Oryzias latipes: one gene and its partners. The protein of the gene in region 3 interacts with the protein of the main gene of each other region in a pairwise test. Links are inferred from orthologs where the notes say so. Each region holds a gene or a part of one and is shown on either strand. Other genes may lie near its edges.

Region 1 (4,505 bases), on a different chromosome or scaffold from region 3:
AACATTTGTTTTCTTAATAAACAAGAAATAAACCTTTTGTGTTCAAGCAATTAATTGTGTCATTCGTTTTAATCGGGTAATTCAACACACTCAAGCTTCTTTGGTGGCCTTGAAAAAAAAAAGTCATGTTGCATAAGAACCTTTGTTGTTCTAGAATAAGAAAAACTGAATTAATCAGTTAAATGGAGCTTTAAAAACTGTTCTAGTAAGTGAACCTTTTTGCAGTGGCTAAACTCTGTCTTTCAGATTTGCTTTTTATTAATACATTTGATTGAAAATTAAGTGCCTGATAGTTTTAAGTCAACAGGATGAAAAGGGAAAATCGCTTTACATAAAAAAAAGATTTATTAGAAAAAACTAAAAACAAAAATCACTGTATATGTTTTGACAAAAACCAATAAAAATCTCCATTTTTAAAAATTTCTCAATATTGTGCAGACTAACTGAATAAATTGGGTTTCGTTATTGTATTAAATTCTGCATTTCCTCCCACGTCTCTGGTTGGTAAAACCTGCAAACCGACTGTGGTGCAAACCCTTAAGATGCATGGGTGACCCGACTACATGTGGGGGTTCTAATCTGCTTGAAAGCTGCCTAACCAGTCCAGCTGCCAATCAGTCTTTTCATCCCTGCAGGGATGCAAAGCCTAAATGTAAATCCTATCAACTCAAGCCCTGCTTTGATGAGATATAGAAAAGTGGAAGTCTGCAGGTAAACAATGGTGTCAGGTGTACCATAGTTTAAATATAAGGTAAGCAGAAATGCAAGGAAGTAGATAAACATTTAGTTCATATTACAGCATCTAGTTACTACAAAAACAGACCATTAAAGGTTTAGAATTTAAATTTATTAGTATTCTAATAGTTAAAAAAAATACAAAGATGTATTTACATCTTGACACACTTAACACCTCTTTGTTTACAAAGCACTGGCAGTCACATGTGCATAATCTGATTGACGTGGCTATTATTAGACACTGATCATTCCATTGAGCTGTCTGTATCAATCCAGATTACGCAGTCGTTTTGCTGTACTGATTGGAAAGCCCGGGATTTTTTTTCTGCAACGAGCAAATCTGAAGATCGCAAAATAGAATGGTCTGGAAGAAAGATGTTCTGCTTTTCAAAATAAAGGGTCAGAGTGTGTGAAGAGGCTTTGAGAGGTTGGAATCAGCTCAGGATGCCCCCTCTCATGTGTCCACTGTCGCTCAGCCCATGCTCTATTAATTTGATGTCTTCCAGGTCATCTTTAATGACGCTGATCAGATGACTCAGACCTTCCTGCTGCTGCTTCAAGTGCTGCATGACGGAAAGAAGAAGACGCTTAGCGACAAATTATAGACAGTCGTACAAGCAAATGAGTGACAGGATCCCTCACTTGTTTGATTTCTCGGAGCAGGTCTGCATCCACACTGTAGCGCTCTTCTGACCTCACAGCTCCAAAGTGGTTCTGCATTCGGATTTGGGACATTAATTCATTCAGCCGACCCTTAATGAGAGGAGGGAAACAGTTATTGGTGGGTTTTCACAAAGGCAGTTTGATCTCCAACAGTACTTTAGATTTACAAACATGACAGACTTTACAAAAACGAAAAAGATTGGCAAAGACTTATTTCTTAAGAAATGAAATAATTGCTGTTTTTTAAGCTATTTAGACTCATCTACGTCCACGAAACCACCAAACAGCAGCAGATACGCAAAGATGGACTAAAATTATTCAAAGATTAATAACACGGGTTGTGTCCAAATTCCCTCACTACTCACCACTTGGTGCAATTTTTTGGGATTTTTGAATCTACAATTCCAAAATCAAGTGCCCTGGAAATTTCCAAGAAGTCTCTCCGAGAAACTAGTGTGCATCGCTGCTCACTAGATTGGCGAATATCGACCACAATGAACTGCATTTGAACAATTTTTCATTTAAAAAAAAAAAGTGTTTTACATTCATTTTGTATAAACCCTCAAAGTTTTTCTCATCAGAACACAGTGGATTCATAAAAAGTCTTTGTAAAATATCAATAGTTATTAAGTTTGCTGTTCAAAAAAATGCAGTAAGCATGTTAACTCCAGAACCATAGATAGCCCTTTAGTAGTTAGGGAGTAGTGAGGCAACATAGCTATTTCTATTGTCAAATGCAGCTTTATAAAGTTACAAATTTAGACCCATTTTGTCTACTTCCAGACCAAAGCCTTCAGTGAGAGTAGCTTCCTGCTCCAGTTTGCAGAGACTTGCCTTGAACTGTGTGGGGGCATTGAGTTCGGACTGAATGGTGTCCAGCTGCACTCGGAGATGCTCCTCGTCCACTTGGATTGCGTAGCCACTTTTCCTTTGAATCTCCTGTTTGATCAAAACCTTCCAGGAAAACATGGCAATGATACACAGGACAGTGTTGCCGAGCGGAGATAAATGCAAGCAGTGCCAAAACATTCAAATGTGATAGAATATACAGATGGGATTCATCAGTTTACTTGGAAGAATAGTACCGGACAACATTAAAACCTTCAGAGAGAAAGAATGTAGGACAGAGGGCCTCTGAGCCTCCACACAAACACTTCTCTCAGCTTTATGGAGATTTTGCCAGGAACGCCAGTTCAGTGGGATTTCACCTGATCATCAACAACAGCTGCAAGATTACAGACTTGAAGAAAGATTCATTATTCAGTCTCTGCAGCAGGTGAACAAAAAGTCCAAACAGCGGCTCTCATTTAAAAATCCATTTTCAACCCCTTCCACGCACTTTTTTATAGCTACGGTTTCTTATCAGAAAACATCACCTTTCTTAAGTCAAATTATAGGACTGCCCAAACAAACAAAAGTGTGATTTCCAGTATTAATAGAAAAAAAATCAGGAAAATGATTGGAAATTGGGCCTGATCATTTACAATCGCCACTCGCATTCCAAACAGGGATTGGATATTTATTTGAATCTTTTTATGATCAGTGGTATATGCTGCAGGCTCATTATTACAACGTAATACTCCATTAGAAGTCTTTATATCATGAAAGGATCCTGACATTGCCAGAAAGTGTATAGAATACGGCATTAGCTTGGGCAGGAGGTGCACAAAAACAGTTTGGTCAAGGTGGCGAGATAACCCCAGATTTGGACTTGCGAGATAAATACCTCGTATGAAAATCTTTTAAACTGACAGCAAGTGTCTTTACTAGCTTGTCTCAACTCTTCTTTGTCCATCTCAAGTTTTTATGTTTTGAATATATTCTCAAAAATCTTTGTTTTTTTCCTCGCAGGATAATGTCTGGACTTTCTGGCGATTCTTGCAAAAATGCAGCTCAGAGCAGATCAGCTGTTGAAAAGAACCAGCTCTGAGGTTTTTGATCTAAAGAACTTTTAAGGCACTTAAAAAAACAAAAACTCTAACAAGCTCTAAATAAAAGAATTACTGATACCGACAGTCTGATACAGACATCTCTGTAATTACAATTTAGTCTAATCTGATAAATGTGGACGCTACCTGCAGCACCCTGTGAGACAGATCCATCAGTTTCCTCTTGTATTGAGCGATTTTGGCCACGGTTGTAGCCTGGTTCTTCTGCAGTTCACTGATGTCATTCGATATAATCTGCAATTTCAAACAACAATGCACTGGATTTTTTGCGTTTTAATAGTTCTTAATGCTAAAAACTACCAGCATCACACCTGGAGTTCCTCTCAAAGTTTCTTCAAGCATAATAATAATTTGTTTTGTTTAGACCTGCACAATAAATAGCAAATTTGTCATTATAGTGATGTCAAGCTATGCAATATTCGTATAAAAAAAGATGGCAAAAATTCCAATAAATATTTACCTTAAATGTGCTACAACAATCTCATGCCAGCTTGAAGAATTTAATGGATCATAAAATGCCTTTTTGCATTTGACCAATCAGAAGTACTCCTTTACATAATTAACCAATCGCATGGAGCCCTTTTAAGTTAGATGTTTGCCTCCCATGTAGACGAGGGTCATTGGAAGAATAATTTAAGTTATGTTGACTCTTATTTAAATTAAACTGTAGCAGTGAAATGGAAATTCTGTACTTAGTTGTTTCGCAATTTCTTCATGCATCGCAAATTATATCGTCATCGCAATGTTGATCAATAATATCACAAATCATGAGTTTTCCTCATATTGTGCAGTCCTAGTTTTGTTCCACCAAGTTGTATCAGTTTTTAAATGATTCGAATTACATTATTAAACTTCTTTTTATAATAATATTGGATTATCTTCCAATCCAAAACTAATCTGTAAATAATGACTCCATTTAAAATCACCATATTTAGGGTGGTTAACTGAATAGTTAAAAGCATTATTCTAAAGCTAGTGTGTACACGTTTTATGAAATACATTGTCAATTTTGAACCCCCCGGTGAAAACACCTGCAGCTGTATTTGTAAAAATAACTTCAAAATAAAAAACAAACAGTTGGCAGCGAGCGCGAACATCTGCGCTCGGGCCTTGACCACAGTTTCAGAATTCCTGCGTTGATATCAGATGGTTTTGTGC
Region 2 (4,505 bases), on a different chromosome or scaffold from region 3:
CAGCTGTTGAAGGACAATGAGAATCTTCAGCTGGATCATAAGAGCATAAAAAGCCAGCTGAACAGTGCCAAACTGGAGCAAACCAAGCTGGAAGCTGAGTTCTCTAAACTGAAGGAGCAGTACCAGCAGCTGGACATCACCTCCACCAAGCTCACAAACCAGTGTGAAGTGAGTAGAGCATCATTTTCTTTCATGTTTCCATGAATTTTTTTTCCAGCCTCTAAAACAATCTTTTTTTTCTGATTTTAGTTACTAAGCCAACTCAAAGGAAACTTGGAGGAAGAAAACCGCCATCTGTTGGACCAAATCCAGACCCTCATGTTACAGAATCGCACACTTCTGGAACAAACGATGGAGAGCAAGGACCTGTTCCATGTTGAGCAAAGACAATACATGTAAATCCAGAGCAAAACTTTTTTTTTTGAATCTGTTTTAACAAAAAAAACTGTCTAAATGCATCACAAGAGAGATTTTGGTTTCAGGCGAAGAAACACAAATACTAAGATTTTGATTTCCTCTCTGAATTTTTTTAGCGACAAATTAAATGAGCTGAGGAGGCAAAAGGAGAAGCTAGAAGAGAAGATCATGGACCAATACAAATTTTATGACCCTTCACCACCACGCAGGTAACTGAGGGTTCCAAATGAAAAACAAACAGAAACGTGTCAACACAGTGTTTGAGATGACATGATTTTTCTTGTAGGCGTGGTAACTGGATCACTCTGAAGATGAAAAAGCTAATAAAGCCGAAGAGTCGGGAGAGGATGCGTTCCCTCACGCTGACTCCATCTCACTCAGAATGCGGTGACGGTTTCCTGACGCTTCCCATAGACAGCCAGGACAGCTCATCTATCGGCTCTGGCTCCAACTCGCTGGATGACACTCTGAAACAGAAAAGTAGCATCAGTGAGTACCAACTGCAGCTTTTGTTTAAAAGGCTGATTAAAAGGCTCCTCTGCACCCTTGAAACATCCAGGCTGTCAAACTGTCCTGCTTTAGTGGGTTTGTACAGTATATCTGAATGTTGACATGAGGCTTTTCCTTCCTAACTGCTCATTTGCTTCTTTATCTCTCTGCAAAAAAGGGAGGAGAGGGCAGCAGTCCCATGCCCAAGGGCAGGGTTCCTCCAATGGTATGCTGCGGATTGGGAGGGAGGGCGGGGCTTATGATCCGACTGTCATGTCTCTGGGGGCATGTTTTCGTGAGTCCATTGTCTGTGTCACTCGACAGTCATAGAGGTTACAGCTGAGCTGCGCAGAAAAACAAGGTTGACTGGTGAAATATCGCCTTGAACAGAATGGGTGCACTTGATTCCTGCTGTCGTATTTGTGTTCAAAGAATTGCTAAATAAGCAAATCACTGGTGTCAGTGAAAGTACACAACAGGTCCAAAGTTTTACAACAGTCCAGTGTTTTCAATTCCAGCTGGCAAGTGTGTAGAGTAATGTCTTAATGCACTCTAAAATGTTGGAAAAAGAAATGTGGGAATCAAGTTTTAGACCTAAGTCGGCTGTCTGCAACCTTTAATTCTAAAAGAGCCATTTGGTCTGTTTTTTTTTTTACAGACTATAGCTTTCAAAGATTTACAATACTTGAGTTATAATAGTTTTATGATTTTAATATTATTTTTGACAGCAGCCCTTCAAAATAAAATACACCCTTAGTCGAAAAGATCCTCCTGCCGCAGCAAAATTTACCTGAATTAAGAATACAAGAAAGCCAGATCAGACAGCATTTTCTATCATTATGGTGCACTGGCAATCCTTTTTTACCATTAAACATAAACTTGAAGATTTCTTTAAAAAAATTATAGGTTACGTGTAAATGCAATTAACTCGGCCTCTGAACAGCAGCTAGATTTTGTGCTTTAAGCTTATTTTGGTTATAAACCCCTCTGACTGCAGATTAAACCGATTACCATCATTTTGCTCTATCTGTTATCATAATTGATAACTCTAGGTGTATTTCTACCAGAGAACTGTAGGCTGGAGCCTTCTCTTCAAAGCTCAATCTGAGATCTGCTAACAAAGCTCACAGTTGAGCTGTGCTTGAAGCTTTCTCCTGTATTTGGCTCCCGCAGATGTTAACTCTCAGAAACTTGTCCTCTGATTCAGTTGGGACCTTGTTTATAGTGGTCAGTCTATCTTCCATTGCCTTTTTCTTGTCATTCTCAAACATTATTTTCAACTGTATGATATTGTTTAACTGAAGGTTAGGTACCACATTCTCTTTTGATATTGATATTTATTATGTTCAGCTTAATAATTAATAATCACGTGAATCAAGAGCACCCTGTGTGGTTCAAACATCAACTTCTACAGCTGTATTTCAGCCCCACATCTGTTTGAGTTATACCTTCAAAAGCTTAGAGGCCCTTATGAACTGACCTGTTGGTCTGTGCTGCTCACCTGTAAAACAGACATAAGTTACCATAGCATCATAGATATTAAATGGTGCAATTCATTGTGGCTCAGATTTAATCCTGACACAACAGGTTCTTCACATTCAGAGCTTCTTATGGGGTACTTAGAATTGCAGTTTTTTTTTAGTTTAGTTTAGTAGGTCGGCGTGCAAATGTACCACGAATCATTCCTAGCAGTCAATTAATGGCAGCATTAGCTGCAGTTTATTCTTTATGGTCCCCTCCCTCCCTATTGCACCCTTTAATACGGTTTGTCGTCCATGTCTCATCTAGGTTTCTTCATGTATGGTTATGTCGTTTGTAGTATGTCATTTATGAAACCAGTTTTAGGTGCGGTAAACAGATTTTAGAACCGCTACCCTAAGGAAAGTGTTGTGCCGATAGAATGTGAAAGTGTGTGTTCCCATAACATGCAACATGCTTTTGTTTTTGTTTTCTCCTCTTTTTGTTGACATGTTTTTGTATAATATTCATCTCTTCAGTATTTTTCCGCATTTACACTTAGTTAGTCAGAGGCTTTCCTGTTTATTTGAGAAACTTGCACAGAAATGTACAAATTGGTTTTTATTTTATTATTTTTTTAATCTTAGTTGTAAAATTTAATACACATGATGGGGACTTTAAGCCATTTAACTTCCCTCTAACTAAACAACATTTTATATCCGTTTTTCAGTATATTTCTTACCTTATTTTTAATAGAATATTAATAAAAGATAGAATTCCTATTACTGTACAGTTTTTAGGAAAGCCTAGTTAATGATCTGATCATCGGTCTGTATTGTCTGTTTAGTTGAGTGTCCAGAACTCAGCTTTTTTCTGCTCATGTCTTCCCTGGCCCCAAATGTGCTAACGTTAACCACATCCGTCTGTTCTGTCCTTCTTTTTCTATTTTTTTTCTTCTACTCCTCTACCTCCCCTGGGCTTGCTCTGTCACTCTCCCTCCCCCTGTCCGTCTCACTGTCCGTCTGTCTCTGGCGGCACTCTGACAGCTATAAAAAGGTTGCCTTTCATGAGGAACAGATCCAAGGACAAAGACAAGGTCAAGGCCATCTACCGGCGCTCCATGTGTAAGACCTCCGATAGCCGTCACGCTAGCCTTCCTCTCCCTCCTATTGTGGTGTGCTGCGAGAAACAAAGGAGGACGAAGCCGCTGATGTCAGGGCGGGAGCATTGTGGGATGATAACAGAGCAGCTCAGGTTTCCTTCCCAGCTGCTGTGACTGAACAGTTTGGTCAGAGTTTGTAGATTTCTCTTGTTTTGTTCCCCCACGCTGCTCCTGGTGACATCAGTTGCTTTTCCTCAACTCTTTCCTAGTAAAGACCACGCCTACATCACTTCCTCTGCCAAACGCATTATGCTCCACCCTTCCCTGTAGACCTATAAGCCTTCACCAATGAAATTCACTTCGTTGTCATAATGTATTGATAAAACATTTAAAAACAATCACATGTAGGTATAAGGGACATGGATGTGAGTCATGGTATTCTTTTTTGTGTTGTGTTGTCTTGTTTTTTTGCATTGTATCCAAAGCAAACTGTTTTGTCGCTACATGAATCAGCGTGCCGCTTGGTGTCATCTGTGGGGTCATTTTGTCTTTTTGAATGAATGAAAGGCTTTTTGAAGTTGTCAGGTTGGCTGTTCAGCTGAGATGGTAGGAGACACTGTGGTCCTGTCTTTCACAAGCCTGCAACAGTTTGCTTCCACTTTTGTTTTTGCAGCATGCCAAAAAAAAATGGAACCACAGCCATCGGCTTGTTTGTAACTCTCTCTCTCACGCACCATGAAGGACCTGAAATGGAGCCTTGGTTCTGTCTCTTCTCTTGCCGTCTTGCTTTGTCAGCGTGCTGCATTTCAGATCTTATTCTGCTGACATGGACTCACCTCGCTCACTGCTGCTGCTCGGAGCAGCTCTGCATGCTCTCCTGCTTCTTTCATTGCTTTTGTCTCACAGTGTCTTTATTTCTGCTCCAACATTAACATGGTAGGATTAGAATTGAACATAAACATAAAGAAACATGGATTCATGCTGTCTTCTATTGAAACCAATGACCCTTAGTTTAAAAAAAGTTTTTCATCCCAATTCT
Region 3 (5,161 bases):
CGATCCTTCTCCTCCCTTAGTTTGAGGAGATCGAGGTGCAGCTTGTTGTTCTCCCGGACCACCCTGGCGTTCTCCGCTCTGTAGGGCTCCAGCAGAGCATCCACGCTCCTGCTCTCCTCCTCAGTCTTTCCAGCTGATGATTTGGCATTGCGTAAGCTCTCGGTGGTGTGGACCAGATCACTGAACAACAGAGCATGCGTCACGTGTGGCTTGGGGTTAATGGACACAGATGGAGGAGAGGGCTTCACCTGAACAGTTTATCCACCAGAGGCAAGGACTCGATTCCGACCGGCTGTCGGTAGCCCAGCTGATCCAGACGTTTCCGTAAATTAACGAACTTCCTCTCTGCGCTGCTGTTCATGGCTGCATGAAGAAGACGGGATTCATTCGAAAACCTCAAACTAAGCTAGTGGACATCCTAAAAACAAAGTTTTTTTGTTTTAATAAGTAAATAAGCTACCGCATTTTTTTTAAAAAGCCACTTGCTTTTAAACCAAGGAGAAACACAATGAAGTTTACAGGTTACCTTCACCTTGTTTGTTAGAAAGCGAGTGTCCACTCTGGTGGCTAATGTTAGCTAGCAACGTAAACCATCCACAATTCAAACATCCAGGTTAACTGCGTCGATAACTAGTTCCATCCTCAGTTCATGAATCGATGTAAACTTCCCAGCCAGTTTGAAGAATTCGGTGTTTCCGCGGTAAAGCGGTTTAAAAAGAGCGCCGTCGTTTTCGCATTCGTCACCATGTAATTCAAAAGGGCATGGAAACCGCTTGTTTTGTCATTCGGCATTGCCCGCGGGGGCGGGTTAGTGACAACCCATACACTCAGAACTTTCACGCTGATTTGCTGACGATTAAAACAAACATGTATCCAGTGGCGACGCTTCACTTGTAAAATTTATTATATACTAAGTGATATACAGGAACGGGACAAACAGTTTCATGTGAAGCAGAAGCTTTTAAACGTGGAAAAAACAGGCGAGATAAGAAAATGCAGTATCTCCACCACAGTCCAGTCTACAATTTCTTTTAAAGACAGAATGAAATATTCATGCTTGTATAAGAAAGCACCAGTTTTTAAGTTGCTCTTGTATTTCTAGCCAGTGAGTGGCAGTAGTTACTCATTAATGGACAGCAGCAAAACTAATGTGACTGAGCAATGCTGGAGAAGTACTCCAGCACATCCTGGATGGTGAACTCCATGGTGATCCCAGATCCAGGGTAGCATCTGCCAATCAAATCCTCAAAGTGCTTGTACTGACGGATGAACTCATCTTGCATGGAATGCCACACCACCTGATGAAATTAATCAAAAAGTCTTTTGGAGTCACGAAGAGAAAACATGCCAACTACAAGTTGGATCTCATAGCGTTCTGACCTGGAGTAAACTTTCTTCTTCACATAGATGTTTATCCACCTTCTTGTAAAGGTTATCCAGGCCTTTCTTCACCTCTTTCCCAGGATACTCTTTGATGACTTTGCGCAGCTCTTGCTTGTTAAATGCCAGCTGGTAGCTCACCTCGTCCTCACGAACGCCCTGAGCAACGCGGGATTCAACCCCCTCAAAGAAATGCTGCAAATCAACCATAAAGATACCCTCAGATAACACACTTTTGACCATCAGAACCTGTGATGAGGAAAATTCTTCATACGTTGAGTTTTTCCAGAGGTTGGCCCAGCGAGTTGATCACATAGGACTGCAGATGGTCAGTGTATTTATGCTTTGCCTCTCGTTTCTCTGCATCCAAGCAGGAGATCTTCAGACGGGACAGAGTGGAAAAAATGTGGTGGAAATTTTCCATCATCACAACATCCCGCGGCGTCTTCTGGCTCTCATTTGCCACCTTTTCCACTAAAAGAGAACCACATGATGTCACTTGCAGCTCACTTGCTTTTGTCTGTTTAAAGCTATGTTCACGCAGTCCTCTGCAATCCACGTTCAAGCAACCACTTTCAATGGAAAGTCTATGTAAACACGAGTAAATGCGCGTTTCGGGGTTCTGCGTTAACGCACATTCAAGAATGCGCATTTAGTGCATTCAAGAATGCATGTCACATGCCTGGTGTGAAAGTAGCATCAGACTAGCGGTCTCACCGTTCACAAAGACAGCCTTGATCAGCTTGACATAAGCCTTATCCAGGTCGCCTCTGCGCTCTGCGTTTCGAAAGATGGTCTCAGCAAGCTCTGCAAACTCTTCAAAAGCTGTAACAAATGGGAGGATGCCCACTTTGGTTTTCTTAGGAATCTTCACCTCCTCCATCTGTCTTATTTGACCCAGCTGCATATGAGAACATATTCAAACTTATAACAATTTATTGTAAAACAAAATGCAAGCAGTAGGAATATAGAAAAATAAGTCGACCCCACTCACTATGCATTTGTCAAAGTTCCTCTTGACAGTGACCAGCACGTTTCCCAGGGTGGTGCTGAGAAAAGAGGCAGGGTCCACGTTCTCCGCCGTCCACACATGGTGACTCATCTTCACCAGCATATACAGAGAATGGAAGCTGTCAATCTTGTCGCCCAGAGCGATGAGGCTGTTCAGCTCTGTCTCAATGCTTTGGAAGATTTTATTCATCATCAGCCGCACCATGTCCTTCCTTCAGTCAAAAAAGCAAGTGAACAAGTACTGTGAGCACAGTTGAAATTTTACAGCAGGTCAAATTGACATCAGAGACGTTGGTAGCAAAGGGAAAGCACTGACTCTGATGATGAGTGTCTGTGATCGTTCTGTGGGGGGATTCTTGATGCTGTGCTTCCGTCTAACTCCTCTGTCTCAGGCTGATGCAACAAATAAACATGAGGGCAAATCCTAGTCTCTAATAAAGCAGATTAACATATTAAGTTGAAACTAGGGATGTCTGGGTCAAGTTTTTTTGGCCCCAATTCGATTTTGAGTCTTTGATTTTGAGTACCTGCCGATTGAGTCCAAATCAGATACTTTTGTAACACATTAAAAAAATGAACAAATTTAATAAGCAGATCCAGGTTTCCCACTATTTTTAATTGTATTACCCTTATTTTATAACCTAACACCTAAACAGAACAGTTATATGAAATAAAGTGAACAATCAAGTAAAGAAAAATCAACTAGAAAAATGGTTAACTATTTAACTTATTAAAGTGGGTGAGATTTAGTAATGTAAGAAGGTTTTGTGACTGTAGCTTTAAGATCTTCACAACTATTAAATATTTTTGATCAGATATGATTCATATCTTCATTAAAAAAAATTTAAAATGAATTTTGACTTTCTCTCAAAATCATTTAGCATGGAAAAGATGATGAGTTTTCATAACTAGCTCCTATCAATGGAACTGTTTATTAGTTTTGGTTGTTTTTGAAGGATTTGGGATTTTTCTGTTTAATTATTTTTTTCCTGGAGCTTGCACTTTGGAGACGATCCCTTGGCAGCCGTCTTACTGCTGTCTTTCGGCAGAATGGAGAGCAATTCTCATTAAAAAGAAACAAAAACCCAATCTTTTCTCTTTTGAAATGCTTTTGTAGGTTGTTTAAGTTAAGGCCAATCCATAGGAACACTTGCCGTCAGTTTAAATCATAAATTAAAAAAGTTATTGAGCCTGGAAGTCTGAATCTGTGAATATCTTGCCAACTTTACTGAACATTTTGAGCGTTTACTGCTCAAACTAGTGTCATATAAGGTGGACGGGAGAACGAATACAGGGAGCTTGTGGATGAATTTGTGAGATGGGCTTGGAATAAATCACCTGCTGCTCAGTGTGGACAAGAGCACAGAGATTGTGATTGACTTCAGAAAGAATCGACCAGCTTCCCAGCCTAATATGAATTAAATATTCTAATCCCTAATCGGGATCAGATTCCGATCGAGTCTAAAACCACATGATCAGGCCCAATATCCAATCAAATGATCGACTTTAGACATCCCTAGTTGAAACTGTTTTAGTAATATATGATAACTGATGTACCTGTGCAAGAGGGGGCATAACCGTTTGGTGCTGCTGAAGTTTAAAGAACTTGCTGATGAAGTCCTGCTCTGCCAGACACAGTGGCTCCAGCTCACTGAGGACCTGCTCAAATATCTGCACAGACGAACAAGCCCACACTTATTCTTCTGATTACAACAAAAATTTTCTAATTCTGCTTTTAACGCTATGTTGCCTTGTCAAACTTGGTCCTGTCTGCCACATCCAGATCCGACGCAGACATGTTGCCCATATCCAGCAGCGAGGAAGACTGGGAACGCCGGCTGTTGGAGCCCTGCACTGTAAGCTTGTTCAGACTCGAGGTGGAACCCGTCAGCTTCCCAGAGCTGCCATGCAGGCCTGACGTGGCACAGCAGAGATCAAACATGAGCATCAGTATGACAGGAGCATAATTCAAACTACACAGGAATTTAAGTCACTGCATGTTTAGTTCTGAAAAAATTCAAAATAAAGTTGATGTAAACCGTTTGCTTTTTTGGTGTTTAATGTGGAATGAAATGAAATGATCAGCTTTACATCAAACACAAAAAAAAAAACAGTTATAAGTAATGACTTATGCAGCAATGTATTAGAGCAAAGACGAAATTTCAAAACAAATTTGAGCAAAGGAATGAGAAACAGTGAGTAACTGACAGCTGGATCCAAGCGTTGTACTTACTTTCTGGTTCCTGTTTGAGCGTGCTCTCTTTCCGCGGAAGCGTGGCTACAGCCAGTTAGAAATGCAGGCATCAAAGACAGACACAAGTTAGCTTTAAACATGCAGCATGGAGGAGAGGAAGACAGATATTAGACGCAACACATGCATTGCCATGCATTGCAGGGGCTTTAGAAGGAGCTCAGGAAAAACAAATGGCTTGGTTTTCATAGTCATTGTACTATAATTTTGCAAAAAAAAATAGAGCTCAACTAAGGGTCAAATTTACACATTAAAAAATGATATTTGAGCGAGTAAAGTGCCTGTGCAAGGGAAAGAAGAAACAGAAATGAAAAATAAAACAAGACAAAAACACTTTAGAAACCCAAAGAAGTTCTGTCAAATATATTCAGCCAAGAGAAGTGTTGCAGAAAAGGCAAATTGAAAAAGAAGAATCAACTTGAATATTACACTGATTTTTGATTTCATACATCACATAACATTAACAGCAATACAGCCCGGTGGGCAGCAGGTCTTACCAAACTTGTTTTTTGCTTCTTT

What was found. The genes of interacting proteins can lie anywhere in the genome.
Region 1: the proteins of exoc1 (region 3) and nup54 interact in binary tests that used the Homo sapiens proteins (3 or more experiments, as listed by UniProt). The link is inferred for Oryzias latipes from reciprocal best matches to the Homo sapiens genes EXOC1 and NUP54.
Region 2: the proteins of exoc1 (region 3) and ccdc88a interact in a two-hybrid assay, tested with the Homo sapiens proteins (2 studies listed by BioGRID and IntAct). The link is inferred for Oryzias latipes from reciprocal best matches to the Homo sapiens genes EXOC1 and CCDC88A.

Annotation. Positions count from the first base shown.
Region 1 is NC_019870.2:10,476,266-10,480,770, forward strand, and holds the end of nup54 (nucleoporin p54), read right to left. Parts: intron 3,582-4,505; coding exon 3,474-3,581; intron 2,353-3,473; coding exon 2,233-2,352; intron 1,489-2,232; coding exon 1,378-1,488; intron 1,299-1,377; coding exon 1,170-1,298; 3' UTR 826-1,169; downstream 1-825. UniProt on the Homo sapiens protein: Component of the nuclear pore complex, a complex required for the trafficking across the nuclear membrane.
Region 2 is NC_019873.2:15,834,899-15,839,403, reverse strand, and holds part of ccdc88a (girdin), read left to right. Parts: coding exon 1-168; intron 169-249; coding exon 250-395; intron 396-533; coding exon 534-626; intron 627-703; coding exon 704-906; intron 907-1,084; coding exon 1,085-1,132; intron 1,133-3,410; coding exon 3,411-3,488; intron 3,489-4,505. UniProt on the Homo sapiens protein: Bifunctional modulator of guanine nucleotide-binding proteins (G proteins). Acts as a non-receptor guanine nucleotide exchange factor which binds to and activates guanine nucleotide-binding protein G(i) alpha subunits.
Region 3 is NC_019862.2:72,548-77,708, forward strand, and holds the end of exoc1 (exocyst complex component 1), read right to left. Parts: coding exon 5,140-5,161; intron 4,670-5,139; coding exon 4,625-4,669; intron 4,306-4,624; coding exon 4,142-4,305; intron 4,063-4,141; coding exon 3,949-4,062; intron 2,785-3,948; coding exon 2,708-2,784; intron 2,604-2,707; coding exon 2,375-2,603; intron 2,282-2,374; coding exon 2,098-2,281; intron 1,855-2,097; coding exon 1,655-1,854; intron 1,576-1,654; coding exon 1,381-1,575; intron 1,299-1,380; coding exon 1,146-1,298; 3' UTR 882-1,145; downstream 1-881. Other genes in the region: cep135 (centrosomal protein of 135 kDa), read right to left, coding at 1-180, 249-361.